Linked DNA regions of Ovis aries. The protein of the gene in region 2 purifies or fractionates together with the protein of the main gene of each other region. This does not show direct contact. Links are inferred from orthologs where the notes say so. Each region holds a gene or a part of one and is shown on either strand. Other genes may lie near its edges.

Region 1 (3,652 bases), on a different chromosome or scaffold from region 2:
GGTTGCCATTTCCTTCTCCAATGCATGAAAGGGAAAGTGAAGTCTCTCAGTCATGTCCGACCCTCAGCGACCGCATGGACTGCAGCCTTCCAGTCTCCTCCGTCCATGGGATTTTCCAGACAAGAGCACTGCAGTGGGGTGCCATTGCCTTCTCCCTATTGTAGCCTAGGAAGTGCATAATGTGATGGCAATCTCTAATAAAACAATGCACCTACCTTAATTTAAAAATGTTTTATTGCTAAAAATGCTCACTATCATCTGACAACACAGAACTGACAAAAACCTTTAACGTATAAAAGCAGAGTAGCTGAGAAATATAATAAAATGAGGTGTGCCTACACAGGTAATATTTAAATGTCACACAGTCTCTAGAAGGTAAGTATGAACAAACTGTCTTCTGAAAACAGAAGTTTTATCAACTTTTCATCTATCAGATCTCACTTTTTTTTGACCATACAATTCACACTTCTTTGCATCTGAGTTGTGACAAGACGTAGCAAGAGCCCCAGCGCCCATCAGAACCCTCGGATCCGCCCTCTGTAACAAGCCCTGCGCTGGCCACACCGGCTGCCCCCATCCCTCTGCTGGGCTGGCTTCCTCTCTGCTAAGGGAGCCTCTGAGCCCTTCTGCTCCACCCCCTGCTCCCCCTCCCCCCAGCATGTTCTCAAGGGCATTTTCCTGGGACTAGACTTGGCACCAACCAAAGAGACATATTCTAAACAAAACAAACAAACAAAAACCTTAAACCTAGTTCAGCCACACCTCAAGGCACTGCAATTGTGTAATTAAGAGAAAGAGACATCAGTGGCAGACTACACCACTCAGGTAAGACAAACAGCGTGTGTGACATGAGGTTTTTATTCCTTGAAAACACACAGGAAGCACTGCTAGGTAAGAAGAGGGAGAAGGGGAACGCGGAGATAAAATGTGACAACGTGCATGAAATGAGTTTCAAAGTGAATCGTAACGGTTACCATCCATAAAACCTGTGAAAAAGACCAGAGAGGCTCTGCAGTGTTCAAGAGACAGTTAAGAGGAAACCTGCCCTGCTTTTCTTTTAGGGGCCGGGGAGGAGAAGCAGGAGAGGGCCTGACCGGAGCATCTCTGCGGAGTGATGAAGACGGTCTAGGCTCAGTGGGACAGATGCCTAGCTATGTTCATGCACTGCAAAGTCCCTGAGCAGTGTGTCACTTTAAGTGGGCTCATTCTGGGACTTTCCTGGTGGTCCAGTGGTTAGGACTCTGTACTTCCACTGCAGAAGGCACAGATTCAATTCCTGGGTGGGGAACTAAGAGATCTTACAAGATCCACATGCTGTGAAGCAAAACAAACAAACAAACAAACAAAAAACAGACAGGTAAGAATTTATTTTAAAAAATAAAAGGGTGAATTTTATGGAAAAATGTATGTCAATCAAGCTGTTATTTTTAAAAATTCTTAAAAATAAAAATAAAAGAGTGGAATAGTGCCTGGCACACAGTAAGTGCTCCTCCTGTAAACAGGAGCTTAACCTTCTAAACCAATAGCTTCACTTGAAGAGTGGTGTCCCTACTTGGCACTGAAAGGCCAAACATAAGACTGCACGTCTCTGCGTTGGAAAAGACCTTGATTCTGGGCAAGACTGAAGGCAAAGGGAGAAGGGGGTGGCAGAGGATGAAGTGGCTAGATGTCATCGCCGACTCAACGGACATGAATCTGAGCACACTCCGGGAGGTGGTGAAGGACAGGGCACCCTGGCCTGCTGCAGTCCACGGGGTTGCGAAGAGTCGGCCACGACTGAGCAACTGGACAGCAAGCTCAACTGACAGACTGTACTCCTGGTTTACACCAGAAAGCAGACGCACAGCTGCGCGTGCCCATACGTGTGAGCGTGGGTGTAAGGAAGAGGCCTGGGGAGCACAGGGCGTGCACACGCACAGCTGGGGGCTCACCGGAGCGCTGGCCGGCCTGTCGGCCTCCTCCCCCTCCTCTTCGTCTGAGTCGCTGGCTGCATCCTGGCCGCTGGCGCGGGTGGGCGAGACGGGCAGCTGGGACAGGAGGGCCTGGAGGACTCGCAGGTGCGCCAGCAGCCCATCCTCGGAGAGCGCGCCTTGGTGAGACAGCCACACCGTTAGTTAGGAGGGGTGAGAAACTGGCAGATGCGGGGGACCGCTTCTCCTGAACTCCGAGAGGCATTTCTGACCAGGACACACATCACATCTCTAATATTTCGCGTGCAGATGTGGGCACTCAAGTATTTTAGCATAAGATACCCAAATGCTATGCCAGGCAGCCCAGCAGCTTAGCACAGATGGGGGAGAGCAGCCCCGCACTCAGAGATCGGCCCATCCAACCCTAAGACTCGTTTTAACCTGTGTGGCCCTGTTAAATCAGACTTTTCATCCTGCCCGGACACTATGCCCGGGGACACTGGCCAGGCCACGGCCTTAAGCAAACCTGCTCTTCCGAGGAGCTCCTCCCCCAGAGGCCGTGCTGACAAGGGGACACCCGGCCATGCACCCCGCCCCGCCCTGCTCCCATCTACGCATGCTGCCTCTACGTGAGCTCAGCGGGACACCCTATGTTTCATACCCAAATAATTGTCACCAACGGTTAAGACGAAGTAGAAGAGCCAGGGCGCGCCCCCACTGGTGGCGGGGCGCCTGCCCTCCAGGGACAGCAGTGCGGTCAGGAAGGGCTCGTAGGGGAAGACGGCCCGTGGGTCCGCCAGGGCAGGGATGACGAAGTGGAAGACCTGCTCCGTGAAGGGGGCCGTCAGGACCTCCTTCGTGAAGGCTGTAAAAACCTGTTGCCTAATGAAGAAAAATGGAAGCTCGTAATAAAATCAAAATACGCTGTCCACAAAATCATTGATAAAATCACTGCACACAAAATAACCTTTTCGTCAGTCAAGTTTTTCAGATTAACTAGAGCACCCTAAACTTAATGCTCTATTATTCCTATTAAAAAAAAAAAAAACAAGACTTTGCTATATTTTTCTATCTTCTGATAGCTACTAGAAAGCAAGAAAATAACCAGGTCACCAGAATTATAAATTTATGTTGGGTGCAGGCCAGATAGAAAAAGTATATTTTTCTTTAAACTGAGTCACACTAATAAAGCAAAACTGACTTTCAAGTCCATATTTCAGACAGCACCCTGTGTCAAAGTTAGTTAGATACAGATCTTGCGGAATTACAAAATCAATAAACTGATTTCATTCTCACCTTGCACCTTCTGGACAGGAGTTGTACGTAAAGTGCAATGGTTTTAAAACATTCTCTAGCAAAATTTTTGCTATAGGAACTCGAGATAAATCAGAATATTCAATACTTGATGGAAGCTTGCTGTTAATTAACAAATAGAGAGATCTATAATACCCTGAAAGAAAAAAAAAATTTATAAGTTGTATCAATTTGTATTAAAATATCAATACCCCTATCTTTTTTTTTTTTTTACAACAAGGGGAAAACAAACTTGGCAATTTTTAACTGCTCTTTATAAATCTCCATAAGTCCAAATTCAAGTTAGTTTTTCCTTCAAGTTTTTATCAAGTAAACCTTTTGGTTCCCAAGTAACTTGAAGTGATGTGTAAAGTCGAGGAACCCACTGCTCAGCACCAACAACGATCAACTACACACAATCACCTACACCACCTCTCACCTGGGACCAG
Region 2 (3,652 bases):
TGGAGAATTCCATGAACCGTATAGTCCCATGGGCTTGCAGAGAGTCAGACACAACTGAGTGACTTTCACTTCACTTTACTTCTGTTGTAATATATACACATACGTACAAATACATTGCATGTACTGGGTTGAAATGTAAAATCTATTCTTTATATGGATTTTTGTCAAAAAAGTAGAAAAACACGTTATGAGTTGAACCATGTCCGCCCTAAAAGGATATATTGAAATCATAACCTTGGTTATAGCTTAGAATTATGCTGCCACAAGCCAAAGAATACCTGGGGACCAAGAGAAGCTGGAAAAGGAAAAGAAGGACGCTCCCCTGCTAGAGGCTGCACAAGGAGTAAGGCCCTCCCAATACCTTGATTTTGGACTTCGAGCTTCAGATTGTAAAAGAACAGAAATCTGTGAATAAAACATTATCGTGACCACGTATACTTGTGTGTGTGTGCGCATGTGATCAGTCTTTCAATCACATCTGACTTTTTGCAACCCTATGGACTGTACCCTGCCAGGCTCTTCTGACCATGAGATTTCCCAGGCAAGAATACTGGAGTGGTTTGCCATTTCCTATTCCAGGGGATCTTCCCGAACCAGGAATCGAATCCAGGTCTTCTATGTCTCCTACATTGGCAGGCGGATTCTTTACCACTGAGCCACCTACACTTTAGCGTACAATAAACATTTTTAGGAGATTCTCAAAAGTATCACTTTTCTTACATCCTCATATGAAGTGGTCTCCCCTTGCTCTTCTCCTTTATATCATCCTGTTCACTGTCTTCACAGCACTAATTATAATGTATTGTGTTGTGTTTATTTGTTGACTTTCTGTTTCCTCTGCCAGAAAATAAATTCCACGAGGATAGGTCTTATTTCTTACTATACCCCCAGAGCCTGACATCTATCTAACTGGTTTCCAATAAATACTTATTTAATGAAAAACAGGAAACTTCACGTTACGTGTTATGAAGTGTTAAATGCTGCTGTTGTTCACATCTCCTTGTTCCTCCTTCCCTTTCAAGAAAAAGTCCTCTGAGTAATGGAGAGATTTCAAATGTACAAGACCATTTTACACGGTCTACAACCGGGGCTGGCTAACTACAGGCCATGAGTCAAATCTCGCTGGATGCCGATTTTACTAAGACACAGCTTCACGCATTCCTTTGTGTATTTACTGTCTGTGGCTACTTTTACTCTGTAACCGCAGAGTTGAGTAGTTGCAACAGACTGGATGGCTGGGATGGCCTGTACAGCCTAAAATATTTACTGTTTGATCTATGAAATAGGCCACTCTGCTTTTAACTGTTTATATAATGCCTGATATCTAACTGCACATATTCTAAAGGTTATAAGAAATAAACGCTGAAAATAAGTTTTTACCTTATTGTAATTTTTTGCTAATTCCAACATCTCTTTTACCACTGATTCATTATGTTTACAGTGTTCACTGTAGTCCTGAAGTGTCAAACCTTCCATCCAACTCTTCTTATGCAAATTTAATAACATCTAAAAAACACAAAGAAAAATTAATTATGCTTCTATACTGAAGAAATTTCCTTTATGTCTTGAAAAACAACTTCACAAACAACTTTTGGAATTAATGAATTTAAATTTAATTTTATTAATTTAAATAAACCCTAAAGAGTATCCTCCTAAATCTATATTAACAAAACTCTAAGGAATACTCCAACCCCATGGCCTTTGCAGTCCCTCTGCCTCAAAGGCTGTTTTCTTTATCTTTCTATAGCTTACTTTTCTCACTTCCTTAGAGATAGATGCCACTTCTCACCACCTTATAAAAAAGCCACTCCACACTATCCTAAACATCTTTCTTTCCTTAACCTGTTTATTATTTTTATAACACTATAAACAGCTGAAACTTGTGTTTTCTTGTTTAGTGCATTTCTTTCTCACTAAAGAGAAATCAACAGGGCAAGGACTTTAATTCAAGATCACCAAGATCTAGATTCTAGAATCTAGATCATACTCTAATCATAGAATATAATCAATAAGTATATACTGAATGAATGAAACTACTATGTTATGCACAGGATTTCTAACAGTTCATATAGCCCAGCTTTCAAATACCAAGATAAGGAGGTAAATGCTCCTATTTACTGAATGACTTTGTGTCAGTCTTTCTGAGCCTTTGTTTACAGTATCTATGAATTGAAGGCTTATAGATAATCTCCAAGTTTCCTTCAAATTTTAATATTCTGTCTATAACTTCTTAAATTTAAATTTTATATCAAAATGAAAAGTCATAAAACTGGGAAGAAAATCAGATTCATCCAGTTTGCAATCACATCAGCAAACTAGGATCAGATCCTATTAATGATCACGGAACTAAACACCTTAGCTCATTATTTCTTAAATTGGACTCGTAGTTCTGAGGACATATTCTTGGAAATTCATCAGTTTTCAAGTTCAAATTCCTAAGACAGTTTTTCTTAAAAGTCCTATTCTATAAATAATGTCCTTCAGTTGAGGACTACCAGTGAAGAAGAAGAGTTTTCTAAATGATAAAATTACACAAGATCAAAAAAATGGTGGCTACAGAATGATTGATGTTTTCTTGCTATGAAAACCAGTATACTTTATTTAACTTTTTATTTTATATTGGGGTGTACCGATTAGATTCAGGGGAACAGCAAATGGACTCAGCCATACGTATACATATAACCATTCTCCCCCAACGTCCCCTCCCATCCAGGCTGTCATATACCATTAAACAGAGTTCCCTGTGCAATACAGTAGGTCCTAGAAGCAGTATACTTTAAGTGAGATCCACAAGGCATGAGGCTCTAAAGACATAGTCAGAAGTGAGTTTAGTTTAAAAGAACTGTTTGCAGCTAAAATCAGTACAAAGTTTTCCTTATGCTGAAGAATAAGCTACAAGTCAAAATCATCTATGAGAACTTTCAAGACACAAAAGCTCCAAATTCCCTGATTGCTCCCCTAGGGCTCATGGAGGCAAGAGTAGTTTGAAAACACCTGGAAAACTCCTGAACATGTAGCCCAATTTCTTTGCTTCCCATCTACACCATGGATAATGTTTTAGAAAATACATCTTCAGGAAATTTTGGTGCAGCTGCAACTACCAATGTTATAAGAAAGTGAAAGTGTTATTCGCTCAGTTGTGTCCAGCTCTTTGTGACCCCCATGGACTGTAGCCCACCAGGTTCCTCTGTCCATGGAATTCTCCAAGCAAGAATACTAGAGTGAGTTGCCATTTCCTTCTCCAGAGGATCTTCCCAACCCAGGGAATGCTATAAAGCTATAAATGCTATATAGCTATATATACCAATGTTATAAAGCTACCTATGATTGTTGAGAACAGGCTTTTTGTACACATCAAAAGCAAACCAAAAAATTTCCCAATGAGCAGAATATCCCACCCTGCCTGGACAAGGATTGCACTGGGCCCCTCAGGTAAGACTTGGAGTTAAGTATACAGGTTGGTGGGACAAGAATAAAGGCAGGGGCTTTTGACATTAAGAAAGCACATGAACTGAGCTATGCTAGGAATATAAATATACTATTAATTAATTATTTATATGTGTGCTTTTTTTATATCAAGGATGGTAGCTAAGGTATCAAGAATGGATACTATAAAAGAAAGAAGAAAAAGAAAGTCTGATGTAATTAGATG

The links.
Region 1: the proteins of PSMD14 (region 2) and UBE3C purify together in Homo sapiens (affinity purification with mass spectrometry; 4 studies listed by BioGRID, with this or other methods). This does not show direct contact. The link is inferred for Ovis aries from reciprocal best matches to the Homo sapiens genes PSMD14 and UBE3C.

Annotation. Positions count from the first base shown.
Region 1 is NC_056057.1:120,081,333-120,084,984, reverse strand, and holds part of UBE3C (ubiquitin-protein ligase E3C), read right to left. Parts: intron 3,361-3,652; coding exon 3,207-3,360; intron 2,793-3,206; coding exon 2,572-2,792; intron 2,090-2,571; coding exon 1,932-2,089; intron 1-1,931. UniProt on the Homo sapiens protein: E3 ubiquitin-protein ligase that specifically catalyzes 'Lys-29'- and 'Lys-48'-linked polyubiquitin chains.
Region 2 is NC_056055.1:148,389,552-148,393,203, forward strand, and holds part of PSMD14 (26S proteasome non-ATPase regulatory subunit 14), read right to left. Parts: intron 1,507-3,652; coding exon 1,381-1,506; intron 1-1,380.